Linked DNA regions of Danio rerio. The protein of the gene in region 1 purifies or fractionates together with the protein of each later gene. This does not show direct contact. Links are inferred from orthologs where the notes say so. Each region holds a gene or a part of one and is shown on either strand. Other genes may lie near its edges. The genes, in order: parp1, wwp2, rpa2, aptx, dnmt1, top2a and jun.

Region 1 (3,500 bases):
AAAGCACCCGCTGACTGCCTGGAGCTCATACGTGCACATAGGATGCAGCGCGCGCGCACGTGTGTGCGTGCGTGCATGTGTGTGTGTGGTTTCAACAGTGTAGTGTGGAAAGAGGAAACGCTAGATGAAACGCCTGTATGGACGTGGATCTGTTTTGTTCTAAAATGCCATTTTAAAACTAAGATGTATTAGTGTAAATGGGGTCTTTTTGTGAGCGGGTTGCTGCTGCAACAGGGGCGGGGCAGAGGATCATGATGTCAGCTTAGCATCGTGATGTCTGTCGACCATTGGCGATAGACGATGGCATCATCTATTGACCCAACCCTGATTTACATAGATAATATGGCCATGGTGTAAATGCACTCTACAGTTATGATCTTAATCAGTATACTTCTCTCTCTATATTTATATATTACGATATGAATACATTTTCAACAAATGACTTGAATATTTCTATTTGGAAAGAATTGATCATTTTAGATTGGCGGGGGTGATTCTGTATGTGAGGGCATCTGCATGAAATATAATAAACTATCTACAAGCATGGATAAATACAATGAAGAAAATTATACAAATTAAATAAACTGCGTTTTATTTATTTTAAACAGTGTCTTCAGATATACAGCAATTGAATAGTAATACTGCATAGTGTTCATTGTGTAAATAATTCAATAAAATGAATCATTGCATAAAGTTATACATAACACAAAGTTACAAACGGTACAATTTCTTATGCCTGAATGCCTTTAAAACCCTCATACTGTCACAGGCCTCAAAAACACATGCAAATGATGAATTATGATCCAGACTCTTGTGATGTGACTATTGCAAATGAACACATTGTGATATTGATGCTGAAACGATATACAGTATTGTGCAGCCCTAGTTCCACCCCTGCAAGTGTTCTATCTGAGCAGAAGTTGTAAAGATGTAAGTTTTTTTTGTTGTTGTTCCCTGATGATTTTCAGGACCAGATCCGTGTGTCGAAGAAGACTGTGGACCCAGAGAAACCTCAGCTTGGTCTAATCGATCGCTGGTACCACACCGGCTGCTTTGTGAGTCGTCGGGAGGAACTGATATTTAAACCAGAGTACAGCGCTGCCCAGCTCAAAGGATTCGCAGTTCTACGAGATGAAGACAAAGAGGAGCTGAAGAAACGGCTTCCTGCTGTGAAGAGCGAAGGGTGAGCTTTAGATTTATTGATATATTTTTTTTATCTTTATTTAACCAATAAGTCGATTGAGAAGAAGTTTACAATGACGACCTGGCCAAGAGACAGCATAACAATAATGCAAATGCAGATAATACATAATACAAAAGAAAAACTACAAAAAAGCACAGTTATCTTGTACTGTTAATTGGATTGTATTTTTAGTGGTTGATAATGTGAATAAAAGAATTGAGCTTTAAGGTCTGCTGCAGATGAGTCCAAGATGATTTGTCAAATTAGAAAACATGCACTGCTTCAAATCAATTCTCCTGTATTTGTCACACCATCATCATCATCTGCAGCAGCACAGGTGCTATGAGTGAAAAGCTTGCGTCCAGACAGTGCAAAATACAACAGCATACTTCAAAACAAAATACTATTTACAATAAATATGTAAAAGACAATACGTAGAAGAAAAACACACAGTGCACACAAATGTAAACACAAAATAGACAAGTACACAGTCAAAAAGTTGTACACATCTCTTGGCTATTGGTGGGTAAATATTGTAAGCAGTATTGTTTTATAAGTAAGGGTTCAGTTAAAGTGCAGTGCATGCTACATTATGCTGGTATGAATGCAGTGATGACTATGCAAAGAGTTTGTGTGGGGTGTGTCATTAGTCTGTGTGTTGAAGCTTTGTACTCTGTTTAACAACCTTTAGCGTTTTCAAACCTTATTTTCTTTTCATCTGTTGAACACAAAAGAAGATATTTTGAAGAAAGCTGAAAACCTGAATCCCAGGGGCGGACTGGGACTAAAAATCAGCCCTGGCATTGTAGCCACACCAGCCCACATTACCACACCGACACAGCCCCACCCACGGACACGCACATTCACTACTTATATTGGTGTACAGATGGTAACATTTTATAAGCAGTACCATATTTAAGAAATATTTACACATTTGATGTATGTGACTGGAACAAAAACGACCCATTTATATATGCAATCATGTCATAATTTTTTTTTTCGGATTAGTCCCTTTATTAATCTTAGAACCACCAACTTATCCAGCATATGTTTTACACAGCGGATGCCCTCAAAGCTGCAACCCATTACTGGGATAACCAATTCCCAATTGGACTACCCAATTCACCTATAGCATGTGTTTGGACTTGTGAAGGAAACCAGAAGGTAACCCACGAGAACATGCAAACTCCACACAGAAACACCAACTGACCCAGCTGAGGGAACCAGCGACCTTATTGCTGTTAGGCGACAGCGCTACCTACTGTGCCACTGCTCTGCCCCCTTTCGAGACTAGTTCAGTTAATTTTATGTATTTGGCATTGTCTGACTTGACTGCCTTTCCCTTTTTATGGTCCATCTCTGACAATTTGTTGCACTTACTGTGTGTTGGACATTCTTGGCAGATCTTGATTACGTCTGCGTAACCTCTGATTGGGTCGGCCCATCTCGAAACCAGCCTGTCATTGCCGATTGGGCCAATGCTTAAAATTGATTAATATTCTTACTATTATCATTATCATCATCATCATCATAATATTCACATCTTGCAAGAGATAAAAGCTGCTTACATGTAAAAAAAAAAAAGCAATACATATGAAAAAATAAAATAAAATAAATAGCTGACAGGCCCACATTTAAAAAATGGTCCGGCTCTTCTGGCATTTGCCAGAATTGGCCAGATGGCCAGTCCGCCCCTGCTGTATCCATTGACTTGCATGGTAAGAAAAACAAATGCTGTGGAAGTCGGTGGTTGCAGGTTTCTCAGTAGAACTTTACTTCAGGGCTCCAGGCTTTATTATATGATCGCACTGAGGCCAATTTGCTCACTTGGTCACACAAACTTACCATTTATTTTCACCCGTTTTTTTTTTTTATAGTAATTATAATGACCTTCCATATTGACGAAGCAGTAGAGTAAAACAAATAAACATTACTTTTTGAACCATGTTTGTGTTTGTGAACAGAGTTGCAAAACCAAAAACCACCCAGCTGCATGATACAGAGTCCAGACAGCCTAAACCAAGTTGTCTGTATAAACACACTAAGACAAATGATTTGCAGTTTTTTGTAATGGAATAATAAATACACATCGGACTCAGTGTGCAAGGTTTGTTTACGTGACATTTTTTGCAGATGGATGTGAAAAAAAAAACGCATGTGAATATTTCAGACTTCAGTGTGCAATGACCTTTCGCCTTTTTTCATCTTTTATTTTCAGCTTTTTTTCTCTTTAAGTGATTTTGTATCTATGCATTAATGCTGACGTCTGGATTGTTGTGCATCGTAAAAATATTATATTCTATATATCTCTAGAAAA
Region 2 (3,500 bases), on another chromosome or scaffold:
TGAGAGAGAGAGAGAGAGAGAGAGAGAGAGAGAGAGAGAGAGAGAGAGAGAGAGAGAGAGAGAGAGAGAGAGAGAGAGAGAGAGAGAAGAGAGGGGGGGTATTATGTGAATTAGGCGATGAAACTAATTGTTTAGCACTAGCAGAACAATACATTGATGCCTGTCATTAAAAAAAAAAAAAGGTAGACCAATAAAAACATTAGTGATGTGCTTATAAACACATGCATGCACACACACTCGCTTGAACATGTATGCACACGCACGCATACATGAACATGTATGCACATGCGCACACATGCAAATGCATGTACGCACACACGTAAATGCTCATACGCTTGTGCTCACTCAAACATCAATGCGCACACACACACTAACATGCACAAACGCATACGCTCACACATGCACGCCCATGCATAAACATGTACAAACATGCACGTATGCATGCGTGCACAAACACACACTTGCGCAAATGCACACCCAAACATGCACGAACACGCACACACACGAATGTACATGCATGAAGACATGCACACGCACGAACAAGCACTTGCACACACGAACGCAATGAACAAGTGCACAAACACTCCAATGCACGCACATGAATGCACACACGCACTCATGCACGCTCGTGCATACACACACTGAATCCTAATTTGCAATAAAGGAAAGCTTAAATCTTGACTGTTAAATATACTGTTGTTTCGTTTTTGTTTTTAGTCTCTGATTTGTCATTTGTTTTCACAGGTTCTATTTTAATGTTAACATCACAGGTGCTTTAGCAACAAAAACATTTTTCATAGCAAAACTCAATTTGCTGAACATTATAAAAGATTAAAGATTTTTTATTTGTGGACCCATTTGATGAAGCTTTTCATGATTTCAAATATGATCAAACTTTAAATACATTTCAGTAGGAACACGTCAGAGAAAAGTATGAGCTTTCATCAGAACAGAAATAAGTGTACAGCTGGAATATCATTTCCTGGATATTTTGACATTTAAAAAAAATCACATAACCCATTTGAAACCTTAAAAAAAAAAGCCACGCATTAATTCAAAGTGCTTTCTATATCAGGCTTTCTGCAGGTTTCACAAAGACTTTAAGACCTTTTAAGACTTGCAGAACAAAACTTTAACATTTTTCTTTGTAATGGGCAGTGGATAATTTACATGCCCTATTAAAAAAATTGAAATTTAAGCCACATTTTAAATAGTGTCAAAACATAGTTTTATATATAAAATGTATAATAAATATATATGTTTTAGTTTCAAAAACTATTTAAAAAAAAAAAAAAAAAAAAGGACATTTTGAAGCTGAGAGAAAATTCCAAAATAATGCTTTATTTTAATCAGAGCATTGTTGAAATATTCGTAGAACTTATTATAGTGCTTTATTCTCAGTATTTCAAATCACTATTCTTACTGTAAATCTCTCAAAATATTAAATATGTGTTACTACTTGTTTCAAAAAACTAAACGACCAAAAAAAGTAATACTTTTTGGAATTTATTGGGAATGTTTGCTCTTGGATGTGTGTGTGTGTGTGTGTGTGTGTGTGGTTTTTTTTTTTTTTATTACCATAAGTTTTAAAAAGTATAAACTAAAATTTATTCACAACAAACATAAATGCATAAATACAGGGAGAACTTTGAAACAAATGTTATTGTAAGGATGATAAGTCGCTGTCGCCACTGGCTTGCATGGTTCAGGATCTGAAAAGCTACTCAATGAATTTACCCTTCAGTGTATGGACTCAGTAATGATTTCAAACCACACTGAACTGAGCTAACCTGAACTTAAAACTGAACTTAAACACTAAAAACTGAACTACCCTGATCCAGTTACTATGACCATTTATGTGAAGCTGCTTTGACACAATCTACATTGTAAAAGCAATATACAAATAAAGCTGAATTGAACTGAACAATACTAACAATATTACTTTTGTTAACAGTGTTTTTATAGATGGATTGTTGGTTTTATAGCTATAAAAGTTTGCAAACATTAAAGTGGTGATTTCTTTTCTTTGACCAAAACACACCAAACAAAACAAATAAAATAAATAAGCCAATAAACAGAAAAAGCCCAAACTAAGGAAATAAGGCTGACAGTCTTAAAAACGCCATCACGCAGCATTTCTCTGCTTTTCTGCAAGCACAAAACTGACTCAGAAACATCTTTACCCACTTTACCCCCAAAAAAACTCTGGGCCTAACCGCGCGGAGTGATCTGCTAAACCCTTCCGGATCATATCAGAACACTCCAGTATTAATTACACACCAAACCTGCACAACAGACCGTTATTCCCAGAACTTAAAACAAATCAATCTATTTAATAAAGAGCATCAGGGTCAGTGTTCTCAGATATTAGTGAAGTTGCTCCTCACGCACCTCGAGAGGCCTTTAAATCAAGTGGGGAAAAAAAAAAAAAAAAAAAAAAGGTTCACTCATTACATTGGCTGCACTTACACTGCAGATCTTGATGGTCAATACGATTGTGACTGTATGTGATTTTTTTTTCATTTCTGCTCACATCATCTTTTAGAAGTGACTCCTGAACGGTTCTCTGCATTTACACTGCGCAAAAAAAAAAATAATTAAAAAAAATTCGGACGCTGACTGACAGCTGATAATGAAAAAGCGCTCTTTTCTCTATTCTTTTATTTAATCTGTTTGCAGAGTTTCATTTATTTATTATTATTTTTGACAAGTTGCTTTCCAATAGTTTGACAGAAAAGATTTGGCCATCTTCTTTTAATCTAGGCCTTTTTAAACGAGTAGGCATCTTAATGTCATGTCCATGGCGTAATATGTGCACGTGATGCATGCAATAGTTTTATCAGTTTACATTGGTTATGTGGTGGATAGTGCTCTCGCTCTCATATCCGATCTGTGCCACATGCAGAAAAAAAAAAATCTGAATTAAGTCACTTAAACCCTGCAGCGTAAACTCTGCCATAATCTGTCATTATTTCTCTAAAACAGTGGTCACCAAACTTGTTCCTGGAGGGCCGGTGTCCTGCAGATTTTTGCTCCAACCCTAATCAAACACACCTGAACGAGCTAATCAAGCTCTTACTTGGTATACTTGAAACACCCAGGCAGGTGTGTTGAGGCAAGTTGGAGCAAAACCCTGCAGGGACACCGGCCCTCCAGGACCAGGATTGGTGACCCCTGCTCTAAACCAACAAACAGATCTCTGCATCTGTGCTTGTCTGTGAGAGTTAGTGTGCAAGCGTGTGTCAGTGCATGTGAGAGTGAGTATCCGTGTGTGTTTGTGTGGGTTTAAACTCACTCTTGCCATCATGTGTTCGTAGAGTGTCCAACAAGTCGATGGTGGCGCTGCCCAGAAGCTCCTTCCTCAAAGTGTGACAACTCCACACCTTCAGATCCAGACGACTCTGAGGAGTCACGTTCCTGCACCACACACACACACACACACACACACACACACACACACACACACACACACACACACACACACACACACACACACACAC
Region 3 (3,500 bases), on another chromosome or scaffold:
ATTCTATTTAGCCTTATATAAACGATTTAAAACTTGTCCTCCAACCTATTCTGCATCAAGATATTCGGCATTCTCTATGTGCGTGTGTGAATAATTATGGTTCAGATGTGAGTACTAAAACATTGTCAGTTCTCTCATGAAACCAAATGCTTAAACATTAAATCAAGCTTTCAGAAACATTACAAATTTATAAGTCTATATTGTCTATCAGGGCTATGTAACGAATATGCACTTATGAAATGAATGCTTGTGTGTGAAATATGCTCACTTTGCGAGCAGATATTCCCCATGTATTCATTTTCATAACTATACGCAAACAGGAACCTAACATATTAAGAGTGTTTTGTGACCACACCAAAAAAAGTCTGTGTTTCTCTTTTGGGGACTAATTGATCATCTTATCCCCTGCCTTTTTCTACCCTCCTTCAGCTCAGATCTTTTTTGCGCTCCGTAATGCTCAAGGGGGGGCATAATACTGGATGCTCAGTGCATTCTTTAGGAAAAGTATACACCAGAATTTGAATCCGAACCATCTCTAGATAAGTGACCTATTGTTTATCTTTTAACTGACCAGTACATTTTCTGTGTTGACCATGTCGTGTGCTCCCTTGGAGTGGTGTGCATTGCATGACTGACCTCAAACCATATTGATACGAAAGATATTAAATAATCCTGCATTGCGTTGGGGAAACATATCAATATATCCCCAGAACTTGACATACCTCCCAGCACTACTCATATCTATGGCCTAAAATCACAATGCACAAAAACACTGCAACAGTACCTCTGTGTCAATCCACTGCTTGACATCCATAGGGGCTGCAGTCATGTCATCCACCTTGTACTGGATGTTGATTGTGGATTTATCCGTGCTTCGGATCACACCAACAATGGTCACCTACACCGTATCAAGCACAACATGAGTCTAATAAACAGAAGTATAAAAAGGATAACAATGCAGTGTTGCATTGCTATTGATGCTTTTGTTTGTGTTAAAGAGACAGTTCACCCGAAACTAAAAATTTACTCATCCTTCACTTGTTTTAAACCTGTTTGAGTTTCTATTGTTGAACACAAAGACATAACCGAAGAAAGCTGAAACACTGTAACCATTGATTGTCATAGTATTAGCGATGTAACGATTCACCGTAAGCCGGTCAAAAATCGCTTTAAATATGTGACGACTTAAGTTGGTAGAAATGTGGAATTAATCATTATGCATTTTGTGAACAGAGGGGGCGTTGTGTTTAAAGGCACAAACTCGCTTTATAGCGAAAATTAATTGTTTCTTCTGTTCACCGCAATGCAGACGTGGAAAATTCGGTAATGGTTTAGTAATAGATCATAACCGGTTATTACGTATTTATCTCATATGCGCTTACTGCGATTGTGGTTGTTTACTATGGCGAGGGAGGCGAGTAATTAAAATGCTCCAACTACTTAAAAACACAGAAATGGCACAATTCACTGTGTGTGTGTTTGCTGGACAGTCTTTCACTGTGACTGAAGTTACAGCAGAAGCTCCTATTTCACTGCGATTGAGAAAATAAAAGTAAACGTAGGCCCAATCCCAATTCTACCCCTTAGCCCTTCCCCCTACTCCTCGTTTTGCGTATGCCCTCGAAGGGGTAGGGGTGTCCCAATTCTCTTTAGCTTGAAGGCGTAGGGCTAAGAGCAAGGGGTATAAACCCCTTCAAACAAAGATTTTTTAGGACCACACTAGAAACCAAGAGGTAAGAATCATTTCCCAGAATACCCCAGCAACAGCTGCACCCGGAAGTAAGGAGATCCACAAATTTGTATTTTTTTTTGTCATTATTACGAATTTTTACAACAAACAAACACGTCTTAATATATTCTTAACCGCGTTCATGTTTTACCGTCATGCTTAAAAAAAAAAAAGGGCTAAAATAAAAACTGCTAAATTTTGTGATTTTTTTTGCGATCTATAATTCCTAATAATAACTTCAGTACAGCAGACCCACAACACTCTGACACTCGATGACACTGGAATACCCTGTCAGAAAAGTCTAATGGCTGGGAATGGGCTTTTTACAGTGTCTGCTATAATGTTCATGCTGTTTTTGGTGTGTTTACATTGATGAACATGGCCACTGTGTAAATGCACAGTATTACGATCTCATTGCCACATTAGATCATTATGATAACATAATATATGCCTTCAGTGATTTCCTGAAGATAAATACCAATAAATAACACAACTGGAATCACTCCAGCAGTCGCCATCATCTGATCTCATATGAAGCAAGAGATCGCGAGGACATGATGATGTGTGCAGGTGCTGTCCTAATTCTTAGGGGTAAATTTTAAAGCCCTTCCCCTTAACCCTCACTTGTAAGGACCAGGGGAAAGGGGTACAAAAATAGAATTGGGATTGGGCCTTAATTTCTCTCCCTCAATGTTGCCATTTCACCTGGTGGCAAGACATTTCCTCTCCTCTTGGCAGTTACAGCGCTTCAGACACGAGTGTGTCTGCAGAAGAGTTTTATCCTCTGCATCAGTCATGGATCAGCTGTAAATCGCTGATGCCGTTATCAACGTCACTCAACGGTGAACAGCACCAGAGCATTAGAGCCAATCGCAGCCCTTTCTGTTGAGTGCGTGACCAATCATAGGGGTTTAAGAACTTACTCGACAGGGCTCATAAAGTGAGCAGGATATTTACATTTGTTCATTTGCTATAAATGCTCATGTTGTTCTGTGCATGTACTCGAGTTTTTAAAAGGACAGTTCTGACTTTGTATTGAAGGACAAAACTGTATTACAAATAGTATAGAAATATAAATATATTTATACATTTTTTAGAAAAGAATTCTTGTGCTGTTAAGTAAAATATCAAATTTTGTATGGAAAGCATCGTCAATGAACAGTGATATGGAATTTAACCGAACCGATGGCATGATAATCGTAACCGAACCATGAAACCAGTGTAGGTTCACACATATACCGCTGTACTGGCATGTCAGCGGCGAGCAAGAGGTGGGGCGGCAGAGTAAAATGACAGCATTGAAGTGCACCAGACAAAACACAAAGTGTGTGCAAATACTGCAAAAAGAGGTTTACTTACACTAACAGAACATGAATATGATGCACATAAACCATCAGCACAGAGAAAACTACAGTCACAGACGTCTATACTCAAAAACACTAATAATAAGTCACACCAAGCAGACTGGATGATTTGAAGCTCCACTTGCTCCGCCTCCGAAGAGTGCTACGGAGCTCAGACAGTGCATCAGTGTTTTCGTAACGAAAGTGTGAAGATATTTTTCCGACTGAAAGAGAAAGTTGTTCTGTTATAGAAGCAGGTATTAGACTATGTTTACCATCCTTTTCAAATTAGTTTATGCATATTGAAAAATTAGCATCTAAATTTGCTATCCTGATATACAATTTGTAATTTTCTAATCAGTATTGTCTGTCAGTAGCCAGTCCCCTGGATCAGACGGCCTACTGACCCCCTCTGTACACCCTGCTCT
Region 4 (4,126 bases), on another chromosome or scaffold:
GCTTATATATATATATATATATATATATATATATATATATACATATATATATATATACATACACACAATTTTATTTATATACATATATATTATATATACATACATACACACACGCACGCACACATATTTATATATATATATATATATATATATATATATATATATATATATATATAATAATAAAATTGTATTATTTATTAAAACAATATAAAATGGATTCACTAACTGTCTAGGGATGTTGTTGTGTAATTTGCTACAATAAAATATCATTTTTTAATAAAAATAAAATAAAAAGTGGTCGGCTATTTTTTTTATCAATTTATTATTTATTAGGAACATAATAACTTGTGGTGAACTAAACGATGGTGCAGTGGGTAGCATGTTCGCCTCACAGCAAGAAGGTTGCTGGTTCAGTCTCGCCTGAATCAGTTGGCATTTCTGTGGAGTTTGCTTGTTCTCCCCCTGTTCGTGTGGGGTATCTTGACAGTCCAAAGACATGTGGTACAGGTGACCTGGATATGCTAAATCTGATCATAGTGTATGTGTGTGAATGAGTGTGTATGGATGTTTCCCAGAGATGGGTAGTAACCATGGGTAGTACCGCTGAGTAAAACATATGCTGGATAAGTTGGCGGTTCATTCCGCTGTGGCGACCCCTGATTATGAAAGAGAATAAGCCGAAAAGAAAATGAATGAGTGAATAATTACTTGCCTTAAAATAAAAACAAAATCCAAATAAATCAACAGTAGGAGCGTTTAAACTGTCTGCATTAAGTAACACTATTCTATACTCTATAAAATTAAACTCCATAAAGTGATGTTATATTATTTTTAAAGTGTAGTTACAGGAAATCTGTCCACAAACTCCACTAAATCTGACGTGTATACATCTACATCTGCTAGATACCTCATACTACATTCCTATATATTATTAAGACACTGTCACTTTATAATACTCATCATATGTACAAGCCTTTTATACTATATACTTTGCATTATAGTGTACTTTTTCCTCTTTATACTGTTTTGCATCTGCACAACTCTGGTTTGCTCTCCTTGCCTTGTGCCCTTAAGTGTAATTGTATCGTGTACAATTTTAATTTTTACTTATATTTTTAGATTATATTATATGTGTAATTGTATTTATTTTAATATCTTTTTTAAAATTCTACTTTTTGAATTAACATCATCTTTTTTGTATTAACATTATCTGTTAGGCACCTAGGTAAGATTAGTTCACGTCATCTTTCAGCCAGTAGTTGGCAGCAAGCGCGCATGACGTGCTGTTTGTTGACACCAACGAACAAGAGCGAGCGAGCGAGCGTCATGTGTTGCACTTTTATGTTTACGACTACCACACTTTTTTCTACCGTAGCTTTATTACACTAACACAGTAAGTAACGAACATAAGTGGGTTTTAGAAAAGCACCGTAGACTATATGTATACGCAATAGCATTATAACGTGTAATATGGTGTGTGTTTTCAGGAGATGCCTGTGTGTTTACTAGTAAGTGAAGATAATTCACACAAACCCATTGAGCTCCATCACCAACAGTCTGTGACTCTGGGTCGAGGACCAGACACTAAGATAAAAGACAAGAAGTGCTCTAGAGAACAAGGTATTTTTGCATATAAAAAGCAAATAAAAAAACGGCCTCTTTATTTTAGAAATACAACGTCTTTTCTTTTTTGCAGTTGAATTGAGAGCTGATTGCAACAGGGGATTTGTCACTGTTAAACAGGTCTGCTGGAGAATTATAATATCAAAGCAAATATTAATACAATATATACTGAGCTGAAATATATGTCAAATAATGCAAATTAGTTTTCAATACCACAAAAAAAAGTTTATTTCTTGGTGTAAAGTTGGTTTTATATTTTGACTTTCTCCTTTAATAATAAATTAAAATACTTGTTACTCACCAAAATGGATTTGAACCAGATATTTTATTATAACAGCCTTTTAGAAGTTAATTTATAAAACGTAATAACGTTTGAACCTGTTTATTTGATGTTTTTAATAGCTGGGTGTGAATCCGACACTTGTGGATGATGTGGTTGTGGGCAAAGGCAATCAGGTACAGTGTTTTTAAAATATTCTGAAAAAGTATTTAATATACGGACTAGGGCTGCACGATTCTGGCAAAAATGTGAATCACAATTTTTAAAATTTTTTTTTGCTTAAAATCAAGATCACGATTTTCTCACGATTCTGTAAATGTAAAATAAAGGTTAATAAGTTTAGCCTATTATTAAACATATGGTAAAACAACAACAACAATTATAGACCCATGTGTAGCTCTACTGTTGCTTAAAATGCAAAATTTTGTATAGTCATTATCCTAGACTTGAGCAGACTTCCAATATGTCCTGTTTGTTAATTCACAGTAACAGCATGACTTTATATTCTATACTGTACATTATTTCTGTTAAGTGACAAGACTGTTGTCTAAGCAAAGTCAGACCTTACTGTCCTAATGAAATCATTAAAAATCAAGGCATGATCATATTTTATTTTGGTAAAATAATCATAATTTAGAGTCATTTGCCTTTCATACAAACCAATTGTGATACTAAATGATCAACTATAAGTCAAATTATTACTTAACTTGGATACAAGACAAGATTTTTTTGAGGTAGTGTGTGTGTGTGTGTGTGTGTGTGTGTGTGTGTGTGTGTGTATATATATATATATATATATATATATATATATATATATATGTATGTGTGTGTGTGTGTGTGTGTGTGTATAGATATATTTATATGTATTTATGTATGTATATCTATGTATGTATGTACATATATATATATATATTTATATATATATATATATATATATATATAAATATAATGGTATAATATATGTAATTTTAATACAAGTTTTATTAAGTTAACACAAGGCAAAGTAAAAATGAAAATTGTACATTATTATTATAAACATCAGACACATAAACAGTAGTATTTGCTTCGATAAAATATTCTATGAACACATTTACAACATCTAAAATGCCAAGTATTTTTTATTTTTTTTTTAATATCTGATAAGATGCAATTATTATTTTATTCAGCTTCTAGCAAACCAGCTGTGTCGATAATTGTCCGGTTGTCTTGTAATTGAGGCTGTATTGCACAGGTCTCTGGTCTGCTTAACATCACACAAACCAAATGTCGCCCACCTCTGCAAGCAGGTGAGCATAAAGCCGGGTCAGAGACTCTACATGGTCAATCAGCAGTATCCTTACAGTGTGAAGTTCACGGAGGACACGTCCAGATCCAAACCCTCCAAAAGAGCCCAGCAGATCCAGAGCCCTACAAAAACAACAGCAGATGTGTCAGACAGCCCACCTCCACCCAAAAAAACAACACCACCTGCTGGTGAAAAATCGGTGAGTTTCTTTTAGATGTATAGGTTGGGAAGTTTCAGTATTTATGCAATAGGAGTATACAGTGCTCGGCATAAATGAGTTTGCAAAATGAATATTTTTATCAATTTCTCAGTGAATATATGTCATATTTTGGTGCATTTGACCAAAACAGATTTATTAAACAGATATATGTATTGAAATAATATTTTAGTCACTGAACATCTGTAGTAATAGAAAGATAAAACATGCAAAAACAATTACAAACTACAAAAATTTCAACAAAATTGTATATATTTATTTGTTTATTTTGTATATAATATTATTTTAGATTTATTTTTTCAATGTGTATGTAATATTTTCCCCTAGTATATACATTTGTTTTTTTTTTGGAGTGTTATCATAAGTTATTTTGTTAGATAAGCTCCAGATTTCGGTACTGAATAATCTATAATATAATATTGTAAAGCTTCCTAGAGAAAATATGAATTCAAAAGAGAGATCTGTGAGATATTTTACTCATATATGCTCTATTATAATGGTTGCACTTAAAGTTTTCATTAAGTAATGTATTTACCAACATGATCTAATAATGAACAATAATTGTGCATCATTTATTAATCACAGATTTACTAGATTATTATTAAAATGCAAATTCATTCTTGTTAGGATTAGTTAATGTACTGAGTGAACTATGAAAAACTGTATTTCTATCAACTAAAATGTAACAAAGATCAATAATACTGTTATAAATGTGCTGTTT
Region 5 (3,244 bases), on another chromosome or scaffold:
ATCTGGATGCTCCTCAGCCTTTCCGCATTGGGCGCATCAAAGAAATCTTCTGCAACAAGCGCAGCAATGGAAAGCCAGACACCTCAGAGATCAAACTGCGCCTCTATAAATTCTACAGGTAACTCTTTTATTCTCCGGAATGATTCCAACCAGTGCGTCTGATTTTGAGGTTGTACCTTAAGGGAGTTCAATACTATTTTTCTCCCCAAACTTGTTTGCTTTCAGACCTGAAAACACTCACAAGGGACCAAAGGGAGCATATCATTCTGATATAAACCAACTCTACTGGAGTGACGAAGAGGCGACCGTCAGCATGACTGAGGTGCTGACACGCTGTCGTGTTGAGTATGCAGAGGATCTGGTTGAAAGTGTGCAGGACTATTCAAACAAAGGACCCGATCGCTTCTATTTCCTTGAGGTAAGGATAAAATCTGGCTGTAATGGAGCTGCCAATGGTACTCGTAATGCAGCTGAAAATATTTTCTGCCATGACTTACCTAATGGTTCTTTTTGTAGGCATACAATGCCAAAACCAAGAGCTTTGAGGATCCTCCCAATCATGCTAGATCTGCTGTGAATAAGGGCAAAGGGAAAGGAAAGGGCAAAGGTAAGTCAAGTGTAATGTTGAAATAAGTAATGGAAACTTCTAGGTATGCTCTTGTGTTTTTTTTAAGCTAAAAATGGTCCATCGTGGATTCAAGATGGCTTAAATATCTGAACACAATCATAACTGCATGTGGGGAGAAATTGCAGCTTAAATGTTTGTACCATGGTTGTCTGTAGGAAAAGGGAAAGGGAAAGCAGCGCCTCAAGAACCACAGGATCAGGAGCCACAAGAGCCAGTGGTTCCCAAACTGCGCACTCTGGATGTATTCTCTGGCTGTGGTGGTCTGTCTGAGGGCTTCCATCAAGCAGGTTTGGCTTCCATTGAGTCTCTTTATAGAACCATGTTACACAATGTATTATTACTAGGGATGTAACTGTATTGTAAATACCGTCATACCGCAATATTAATTTTTTTTGATATTACCGAAGTCGCACGACTCAGTAAAACTATAGGTCTTCTGAGAAAATTTGCTCAGGCGAATGAAGCGAACGGGAGGTAGCGAAAACTACAATTCCCATCAGCCCATGCTTGACCATCATCCCTTGCGGTCTGTTGTCGCTACAGATCCAGTAATGCGGAAATAGAGTGTGCTGCTAGAAGCGGGGATGAAAAAAGAGCTGGAAAACTCTAAAGCGGGTGTTGTCGCCGCGTGCGTACTTAATAGCGGTGTTGTCGCGCGAGTTCTTATCAGCTGTGTTGTCGCGCGCGTACTGAATAGCGGTGTTGTCAGCACACTGTTCAGATTGATGCAGACATGAGACCTCTATCTTACTCATGGTTTGTCCTCTCAAGTGGGGGAAAGACAATGCACAACGTTACCCACTGCTGTCAACCTGGGCCAAGTCATATCTCTCTTGTCCCAGAAACCTCAGTCCCAAATGAGAGGGTTTTTTTCTGTTGTAGGGGACATTGTAAATACCCAGAGATACCAGCTTTTACCAGATTATATTTATGATAATTTTCGTTTAAACCCATCTCTATCTTAGTGAGTGAGTGATTAAATGTTGAATGTGATGAGTTTTCAACACTACTAAATTGAAACTTTATTTTTTTTTTACATGGTTTAATATTTTTTTTGTTATTAAAATTGAAGTTCCTGTTTCAAAGCTTACAGATAGATGGCTAATTTGTATGTCATTGACACTTTTGGCACTTTTTTGGAGTATTTTCATAAGTTTTGTTTTTTCCTGTAAATGATTCAATAAATACCGTACCGTGACGTTCATACCGAGGTATTACCGTACCGTGAAATTCTGATACCGTTACATCCCTAATTATTACTCATGCACCTTTTCTTATACCAGGCATCTCAGAGACTCACTGGGCAATAGAGATGTGGGACCCTGCCGCTCAGGCATTCAGGTTGAACAATCCAGGCACGACCGTTTTCACAGAGGACTGTAACGTCCTGCTGAAGCTGGTAATGTCTGGAGAGAAGACTAACTCTCTTGGACAGAAGCTGCCACAGAAGGGTGACGTGGAGATGCTCTGCGGTGGGCCGCCTTGCCAAGGCTTCAGTGGAATGAACCGCTTCAACTCTCGCACATACTCAAAGTTCAAGAACTCTCTGGTTGTTTCTTATCTGAGGTCAGCACAATATGAGACCTCCTGTAAAACATTTGGAGATGTGCTGCTGCAGAATGTTTACCATTTGTGTAAATTCTTTGTTTCAGTTATTGTGACTACTACAGACCCAAGTTCTTCCTGCTGGAGAACGTAAGGAACTTTGTGTCATTTAAGCGCTCCATGGTCCTGAAGCTCACACTGCGCTGTCTGGTGCGCATGGGCTACCAGTGCACCTTTGGTGTGCTGCAGGTGAGTTACTTTATTGTTTGCATGTTGTTCTTGAATATGTTATAGGCTATAGCACCAACTGTATGTTGATTTTAGTTTTTGAAAGGCTCCAGGTTGACTCGATTGTTTACTGAAAAATAATTCATGACCAATATGTAACCACTCTCAAGCCTCTCTCACCATAAAACCTAATTTATTAGAATATGAAATTTAAAGACCACTTGACAATTCACAGGGATACATTTTTAAAAACGTCCAATGTGCGCTCTGTTTACAAGCCCTAAAGACTGGTTTATACTTCTGTATAAACTTGCGTGGCTTTGCATTTATACTTCTGTGCACTGTCTCTGTTGGCCTGCATTAACACTTCTGAAACGCTAGTTGGCAGTGAGGTGTTAATGTTCCTGTGTTGAGTTTTTTCGCTGCAGTTTTGTTTTTTCTAAATGCTTCCTGAATGTACAAGTGACTCAAACTCGCTCATATTGAGGCAGGAACCGACAGACATGCAACAACTTTAACTATGAGGTAAACCCAAAACAAAACTTTCCATCCGGAGCTCCTTCACGGGACTCCACACTTGTAAACAATCGCTCTATCGGGTTTGCCGGGCTCTTGGTCCCACCCTGACCCGTCAGCGCTACCAAGCCGACCAATCACTGAGCTTGCGCTATGCATCGTACGATGTGTAGTTTACTTTTTTTTTTTGAGAGGTGGACGTCAGCCACGGCTTAGGGCTATGCGTCAACGCATAGGCTGGGCCGTAGCATACCCGTGCGCTTGACGCAGAAGTATAAATCAGCCTTAAGTTGTCATCAAGCTGAAACTTTATAAAATGGTTTGTAA
Region 6 (3,500 bases), on another chromosome or scaffold:
AATCAGGTTTTAATGAGGTCTTAAATTTTGTTCAAGCGTTGTCTAAAGTGTTTAACTCCAAAAAAGCATAAATGTATTCATTTTCCTTGATCCTTGCAATTGGTTTGAGCCAAGGCACGTTTAGCCAAGCTCCTCCATTCGGGTGACGTCATGTAATTTGCGGCAAACATGGAAAGGTGACGTGACACTTTCCACATATAGCGAACCCATAGAGTGGAACAGATAGCAAAATGGGAAAATGTAAGTTTGAGTACTTCTGATTTGAGAAAGATGGGTTTAAACAGTGGCTGAAGCCTGTCGCCAACAAAACAATCACGTTTGTTTCTTCCAGGCTTCTCTGAGTTTTGTTACACGGTTGTGCTTCATTGATTTATTGAACTACAACTGTTTATTAATATCTGTTTATTAAGGTCAAAGTTTAATATGGATTAGGACTTAGTGGCAATGAAGTCTTAATATATTCTAAGAAGGTCTTTAAAAAGTCTTAAAAAGGTATTAAAATTAACTTAAGGATTGCTGCATATACCCTGGTAATGTATTCAGATGAATAAACAGCCTTTTCAAAACTGTTCAAAAATGTTTTTTTAATAAATCTTCAATCAAACAGATGCGTCACATATTCTAAACCAGATCTATTGATTATTTAATGTCTACAAAATATAATGTAGTGTGTAAAGTTTTTTTGAATTCTTTTATTTGCTAGCAGTGGTTGGAAGGGAGGGATTTTAGCGTATCTTGCCTAAGCTGTCAATCATCTGACAAGAAATGCCATTATAAAGTGAAAGCAAATGTGTAGAATATGTATAAGATAATGTAAGTTGTATAAAGTTAGCTTTTTTTTGTAGATTTGGTGACTTTAATTTAAAAATGTATTAACATAAATAATAATTGGGTAAGCTAAAAGTGTCTGTAGTGTATATGTGTGAATGAGGGTATGAGTGTTTCCCAACGATGGGTTGCAGCTGGAAGGGCATTCACTGCGTAAAAACATGCTGGATAAGTTAGTGGTTCATTCCGCTGTGGCGACTCCAGATTATTAAAGGGACAAGCTGAAAAAAAAATGAATAAATGAATTAACATAAATATTTAATAAGGTACATGCATACAGTAAAGTTTCGTTGTGACAAACCAAGTCAATTTTCATTTTAAAAAGTCAAAAGCCAAGTTTCTTTCAGTTCAGTTTTAAAGCAGCCCTACACAAATCGTTTTTCAGCTTCATTTGGTCATTAAAATGCTGTGTGTTTCAGGGTGGCAGACACACAGACTATGTTGCAGATCAGATTGTGTCCAAACTGATTGAAGTAGTGAAAAAGAAGAACAAGGCTGGAGTAGCCGTCAAACCTTTCCAGGTACATTCAGATGTTCTGCAAACTGCATCAAATAGTATTGCCTTCTCATGGCATTCTAAATTAATCACCATGTGCTGGTTTAACTTTGTGTGCAGGTCAAGAACCATATGTGGTTGTTTGTGAACTGTCTGATAGAGAACCCCAGCTTTGACTCCCAGACGAAAGAGAATATGACCTTGCAGCAGAAGAATTTTGGTTCTGCCTGCTCTCTGAGTGACAAGTTTGTTAAGCAGGTAAGAACTGATTTCTCGATCATTCATTGCTGTAAAAAATCATGGCATAATGGGTGAGAGTTTAGAGTTAATATAAATATGTTAGACGTATTTTACTGGTTAGTGCATGTTACTTGAGTTTTTTCAACACATTATTACCATAAAACAAAGAGAATGGGATTTACATGCAAAACAAACTTGACAAAATTACCCTTAATGTTAGAAAAGATTTCAACAAATTCTCCAACCAGTGGAACCAGTGGTTTCTCCCACATGCTCTTATTTGTAAAATCATTTTAACTATCAAGCATGTTTTATTTGAGTGTGTTGGCTTTACTTCAGTGAGGAAGGTATTTCATTTAGTTCATTTATTTGAAGTATACATTTTTAGCAACTTTTATAGTTTTAGCAAAAATAGTGTAAAACCTTAATGTAATCAACAACTCCAGCATACTTTTTCTCACCATAAAAATGGCCATGGAAGGTGAAGTGGTGTTTTAACATAACAAATCTTACCATCAATCTCTTAATAGCCTATTAGTTATATATTTAACAACCCAAAAACCTTAATACTGTTGTGTTTTGTTTCTCACTTAATGTATTCACTTTATATTGCAATGCATTAACAATTAATTGCAATTTAATTACTCAACTTTGTATCACTAAATCAGGGTTTTGCTAATGGTGGTTAAAGATATGTTTAAGTTGCAGTCAATTTGTCAACAGTGAAGTCATGACTTAAAATCAGAAAGACTTTCATTTGATCAGCTCAATAAATTTGTAATACTTGAATATGTCAAATATGTGTAGAACTTTTTTTGCTCTGCCACAAATCTTCCAGTTATGATTCCTGTATGACTGCCCTTGGATTTTGACTACTGTTAGTGCAATTGAACTTTTAAAGCTCTAATAAAATCCTAATCCATCTATGTCTGCAGGCTAATGGGTGTGGAATTGTGGAAAGCATTATGAACTGGGTGAAGTTTAAAGCCCAGGCTCAGCTCAATAAGAAATGCTCAGCTGTCAAACACACGAAGATTAAAGGAGTACCTAAGCTGGATGATGCCAACGATGCAGGTAACAAGAGGTTTGTTGTAATGTTAAATGGTCACGACACCTTCAGCCTGGATGTTCATTGCCGGGTGCTTTGTTTGTTTTAGGTGGAAAGAACTCCAATAGCTGCACTCTAATCCTGACCGAAGGAGACTCGGCCAAAACTCTGGCCGTGTCGGGTCTGGGTGTTGTGGGACGTGATCGATATGGTGTCTTCCCTCTGCGTGGTAAAATGCTCAACGTTCGAGAAGCTTCACACAAACAGGTCAATGACTAAAAATTAATCACTTTCATTTTTAGTTACATACCCCACAAAAGTTATTGAGAGAGAGAGCAAGAAAAAGAGGGGTTCCTTTCAGAAGAATTCCTCCATATGCCCTAATCCCTTTGTAGGATCCCTTTTGAAGGAACTGGAGCCCTTCCAAATTTAATGCAGTGTGCGACTCTAAACAACTTCCCTCCTCAAAGAATCATGTGGGCCAATGTATCTATCAGTTGTATTTTTCAAAAACACCAAATCCAGCACTTAGAAGTGGCCATTTTTGAGCACTTCAGTTTTGAACGACATTTCGGAGGGGTAATTCTATCGCCTTTTGGATGGCACTGTTTGTAAAACACTCATGCCATCAGGCTCACTTCGCTTATGGCTCTCTTACGCCACCCCTACACTATTCACCGATGCCAAGCTGACCAATTACAGATCTTACGCTACATGTCTCTTTGTGTACTTAATTTTTTGAGAGATGTGGCATAACGTATGGCTAAGGGTGTGCGATTGTTTAAAGATTGCGCTTCACTCTGTGCAGAACTATGAATTAGCCTTAAGCAGTGTACCATGGTCTTTTACTTAGCAAATTATAAATTTGAGACCAGCAATAATCAAACT
Region 7 (3,705 bases), about 30 Mb from region 1:
AAACAGTAGAATCAACCATATTTTAATGTACTCATAACAAAAACTAATTAATAAAATAAACAATAATAAAAACGACCATTCTTGCAAATGTCCATCTCAACATTACCTGTATATTTATCTTACTAATGTTGTTATAAATACAAATAAACTAGCTATTGTGTCTTTACATACGTTTAAGCAACGTCAGTAAAAATCTCAGAAAGTAAACTGAAACGTCACTTGTCAGCTGTCACGCTATATTCGATCAGTTTGTGGTTGTGGTTGACGCAGTGACGTTTAACAGGGTTGTTTGCACTTTTGAGAGGATCTCTAGGGACTGTCACGGATACGGCGGCTGGACTTTGTGGCACGCTGTCACTCCACAATAAGAAACGCCCCCATTTTTAGACCATTGGCTGACGGAGCAAATGCACTTTGGCATAAAAAAGCAGACTATAGCCCTGTTTCTTCGTGCCAGATTAAATTATGTATGCCTGTATAACACTGAGGTTTTTAAACTAGGGTTCGGGGACCCCCAGGGGGCCAACAAGGGAGTGCTGGAAGTGAAGAAGAGTAAAATTAGCAAATACTAATTAATTCATAATATATTTCAACGACTGATTAAAAAAAAATACTTTTAATCAGCTAATCTAACATTATATTCAAACAAAATGAGTAACATCAAGTTATGCTTATTTAATTTATTATTTCAGAAGGCATTTCTTCTATTTTTTTTTCGTTTTAAATCTCCCTCAACATTTTATTGTAAGGTTGGAAATTAGTTTCACTGACTCCAAACTGTATTTCTAATATATATTTTTTACCTTACTGATGTATATGCAATACATTAAACTGGATCCAGAGAGTGTTTGGAACTTGCTGTTGTTAAAGAATGGCCGCGTCTTGCGAAACTCGCGCAAGAATTGGTCAACTCTCAAACATACAGCGGCACACATTTATTCTGCCTCTTCTTCTCAAACTTATAGTAAAGTTTAAGTTCTAAAAGTGGCGCGTTGTACATTACTCTGCTTCTTTGTATCCCGCCACGGTCTAAAACAGCTAAGCGGGTAACCAGATATTCAAAAACAATACGTAATCCCACAATGCACTGCTTTACAGCATTACCTCATCCCATCAGGCACCGCGAGTAGAATCTTCTGGGTGGTCGTCTAGGCAACGCGCCTTATCTGAAATTGTGACACGCCCAGTAAAACGCCTCCAGCCAATGAGAGGCTGCGCGCATTACATCATTTCTATTTTTAGTGGGGCAGCGGTAGCAGATAAGGTTTGCCTCCACGCTGGAGAAGCTCAGAGTATACAGACCTCGCCACAGTGAAACACCTCACTCAAACCAACATAAATAAGCCTTCGGCTAAGCACTGTTTATCTGCTGGTGTCTGAGAAGCGCGACAGCGGCGGAGGAAGAACTTTCTATCCGCGGAAGGCAGGAGGAGACGAGCCCGTGACACTGGCGATAACTTTACGCAGTAAGTTTCTCGCGGGACGGGGAGTTGAGGAACTTTTCCAATCCTCTCGCTTTTGTTCCAAACACCGCAGCGCTCGTTACTGAACGCGGACAGTGCTTAACAGCGCCTAAAAGACTGCTTCTGAACTAAAAGTTTCGCTTTGCCTTCTATGTCTACCAAGATGGAAACTACTTTCTACGATGACTCTCTAAACAGCGCTTTCTCTCAGCATGACAGCGCCACTTTTGGATACAACCACAAGGCTCTGAAACACAACATGACGCTCAATCTGTCCGACCCCGCGGGGAACCTAAAGCCCCACCTGAGGGCCAAAGCCAGCGATATCCTCACTTCTCCCGACGTGGGACTTCTCAAACTGGCATCACCGGAGCTGGAGAGGCTCATCATCCAGTCTAGCAACGGCATGATCACCACGACGCCAACTCCGACCCAGTTTCTGTGTCCCAAGAACGTGACGGATGAGCAGGAGGGGTTCGCGGAGGGCTTTGTGAGGGCACTGGCTGAGCTGCACCACCAGCACATGCCCAACGTCACCTCGGCTCCCCAAACTACTATCAACAGCAGCATGGCACCGGTCTCGTCCATAGCGGGCGGTGCGGTCTACAGCTCAGCCATGCGCGCTGATCCGCCGGTTTACGCGGATCTGAACACGTTCAACCCTGCTATCAGCAGCAGCTCGGCCAATCCAGCCGCGATGAGCTTCCCGAGCGCACCACCGCAGCTGCCCGTCCAGCACCCGCGCCTCCAGGCCCTGAAAGAGGAGCCCCAAACGGTGCCCGAGATGCCCGGCGAGACCCCACCGCTCTCTCCTATCGACATGGAGAGCCAGGAGCGGATTAAAGCCGAGAGGAAGCGCATGAGAAACAGAATCGCCGCGTCCAAATGCCGGAAGAGGAAACTGGAGAGGATCTCCCGGCTGGAGGACAAAGTCAAGACCCTGAAGTCGCAAAACTCGGAGCTCGCGTCCACCGCCAACATGCTGCGCGAGCAAGTGGCACAGCTCAAGCAGAAAGTCATGAACCACGTCAACAGCGGCTGCCAGCTCATGTTGACACAACAGCTGCAAACCTTCTGAGGAGAGCCGAAGGACATTTTGAGTTCAGCCACATAAACAAACTTCAGGGGCTTGATGTCTGCGATCTGGCGCGACAGAGCCCGCGGGGACCGGGACCGTCCGGCCGGCCGCGTGCCGTTAAAGGATGATCCGACTGGACTTTTGAGGAGCGCAAAACTTCACTCGGTCCGACAGAGACGCAGAGCGCATGAGACTCACTCTGTTACATGTTTTACTTTCTGACGAAATCCTTGTTCACATCGACCAGGTTGTGCATGGACCTATACGCTTCAAAGGAGCACTCAGTATTATAGGAGTAAAACAGAGACGCGACTGCCGTACAGTAGGGATACTGGCTCACCAAGCAGGACGTTGTGTCTGCTAAACTTTTGATAAAAAAGCTGCCTGACTTCTGAGCTACATATTGTACTTTTTTTGTTGTTCTTAAATTGAACGGAAATCGACTTTTTTCCTTTTGAGTTAGTCCAACTTAAGCAGTTTCTTTTTCTAAAAAAAAAGTTCATTAATGAGGTTTCACTCATTGTTATTTGTAAATATGATCAACCAGGAGTACTTAAGTTTACCATTTGTAAGTAAAGTACAATAATTTTTTATGTTTGTTTTCTGAGCACCTCAGAAACTAATCAATATTTATGAACTGTAATAAAGTATGTCAAATGAAAAACAATGTCTCTGTTGTCTTAATGGAAATGACGCTTGTGTGTGTATGTGTGTGTGTGTTCAAATTGACAAACATGTAATAACATGTTTTGGAAGAGACTGGCTGTTTTGTAAAGTCCACAGACAGGACTGGGAAAAAAGGGTGTCAAAAAACATCCTTACAGTAATTAAAAATAATAACATTATAAATACATGCTTAATTGCTAAAGGTTAAATGCAAACTTAATATAACATTTTTACATCAAAATAAAGCAGACACATAATTTGATTGACTCTTTAAATCAGTAATGCTGAAATTATCAAGTAATTATCACACAGTCAAGTACTAAATAGACCAATGCCTTTAATCATGGCCTCATTTTTGTGTCAACTGAAACAAAAGTTTATTAAGGTTAGTGTTAGCCTGCAAATATGTTAAAAAAAATTGTAGAAGTTGAAGATGTATACAAGTTTTAACAATTTAACCAGCAACAATGACTTAATATTAAATTAATAAATGGTTGA

The links.
Region 2: the proteins of parp1 (region 1) and wwp2 purify together in Homo sapiens (affinity purification with western blotting; 3 studies listed by BioGRID, with this or other methods). This does not show direct contact. The link is inferred for Danio rerio from reciprocal best matches to the Homo sapiens genes PARP1 and WWP2.
Region 3: the proteins of parp1 (region 1) and rpa2 purify together in Homo sapiens (affinity purification with mass spectrometry; 3 studies listed by BioGRID and IntAct, counting the BioPlex papers as one, with this or other methods). This does not show direct contact. The link is inferred for Danio rerio from reciprocal best matches to the Homo sapiens genes PARP1 and RPA2.
Region 4: the proteins of parp1 (region 1) and aptx purify together in Homo sapiens (co-immunoprecipitation; 3 studies listed by BioGRID and IntAct, with this or other methods). This does not show direct contact. The link is inferred for Danio rerio from reciprocal best matches to the Homo sapiens genes PARP1 and APTX.
Region 5: the proteins of parp1 (region 1) and dnmt1 purify together in Homo sapiens (affinity purification with western blotting; 4 studies listed by BioGRID and IntAct, with this or other methods). This does not show direct contact. The link is inferred for Danio rerio from reciprocal best matches to the Homo sapiens genes PARP1 and DNMT1.
Region 6: the proteins of parp1 (region 1) and top2a purify together in Homo sapiens (co-immunoprecipitation; 3 studies listed by BioGRID and IntAct, with this or other methods). This does not show direct contact. The link is inferred for Danio rerio from reciprocal best matches to the Homo sapiens genes PARP1 and TOP2A.
Region 7: the proteins of parp1 (region 1) and jun purify together in Homo sapiens (co-immunoprecipitation; 3 studies listed by BioGRID and IntAct, with this or other methods). This does not show direct contact. The link is inferred for Danio rerio from reciprocal best matches to the Homo sapiens genes PARP1 and JUN.

Annotation. Positions count from the first base shown.
Region 1 is NC_133195.1:46,960,145-46,963,644, forward strand, and holds part of parp1 (poly [ADP-ribose] polymerase 1), read left to right. Parts: intron 1-968; coding exon 969-1,183; intron 1,184-3,427; exon of another isoform or gene 3,428-3,500. UniProt on the Homo sapiens protein: Poly-ADP-ribosyltransferase that mediates poly-ADP-ribosylation of proteins and plays a key role in DNA repair.
Region 2 is NC_133200.1:37,284,832-37,288,331, reverse strand, and holds part of wwp2 (NEDD4-like E3 ubiquitin-protein ligase WWP2), read right to left. Parts: intron 3,418-3,500; coding exon 3,296-3,417; intron 1-3,295. UniProt on the Homo sapiens protein: E3 ubiquitin-protein ligase which accepts ubiquitin from an E2 ubiquitin-conjugating enzyme in the form of a thioester and then directly transfers the ubiquitin to targeted substrates.
Region 3 is NC_133191.1:4,967,633-4,971,132, forward strand, and holds part of rpa2 (replication protein A 32 kDa subunit), read right to left. Parts: intron 899-3,500; coding exon 785-898; intron 1-784. UniProt on the Homo sapiens protein: As part of the heterotrimeric replication protein A complex (RPA/RP-A), binds and stabilizes single-stranded DNA intermediates that form during DNA replication or upon DNA stress.
Region 4 is NC_133176.1:55,999,141-56,003,266, reverse strand, and holds the start of aptx (aprataxin), read left to right. Parts: upstream 1-1,326; 5' UTR 1,327-1,393; intron 1,394-1,463; exon of another isoform or gene 1,464-1,487; 5' UTR 1,488-1,490; coding exon 1,491-1,620; intron 1,621-1,696; coding exon 1,697-1,743; intron 1,744-2,025; coding exon 2,026-2,079; intron 2,080-2,881; exon of another isoform or gene 2,882-3,134; coding exon of another isoform or gene 3,135-3,189; coding exon 3,190-3,387; intron 3,388-4,126. UniProt on the Homo sapiens protein: DNA-binding protein involved in single-strand DNA break repair, double-strand DNA break repair and base excision repair.
Region 5 is NC_133178.1:57,140,140-57,143,383, reverse strand, and holds part of dnmt1 (DNA (cytosine-5)-methyltransferase 1), read left to right. Parts: coding exon 1-118; intron 119-225; coding exon 226-418; intron 419-516; coding exon 517-607; intron 608-783; coding exon 784-915; intron 916-1,911; coding exon 1,912-2,194; intron 2,195-2,280; coding exon 2,281-2,422; intron 2,423-3,244. UniProt on the Homo sapiens protein: Methylates CpG residues. Preferentially methylates hemimethylated DNA. Associates with DNA replication sites in S phase maintaining the methylation pattern in the newly synthesized strand, that is essential for epigenetic inheritance.
Region 6 is NC_133187.1:11,266,770-11,270,269, forward strand, and holds part of top2a (DNA topoisomerase 2-alpha), read left to right. Parts: intron 1-1,247; coding exon 1,248-1,349; intron 1,350-1,444; coding exon 1,445-1,582; intron 1,583-2,499; coding exon 2,500-2,638; intron 2,639-2,721; coding exon 2,722-2,879; intron 2,880-3,500. UniProt on the Homo sapiens protein: Key decatenating enzyme that alters DNA topology by binding to two double-stranded DNA molecules, generating a double-stranded break in one of the strands, passing the intact strand through the broken strand, and religating the broken strand.
Region 7 is NC_133195.1:16,778,530-16,782,234, forward strand, and holds jun (transcription factor Jun), read left to right. Parts: upstream 1-1,345; 5' UTR 1,346-1,614; coding exon 1,615-2,541; 3' UTR 2,542-3,205; downstream 3,206-3,705. UniProt on the Homo sapiens protein: Transcription factor that recognizes and binds to the AP-1 consensus motif 5'-TGA[GC]TCA-3'.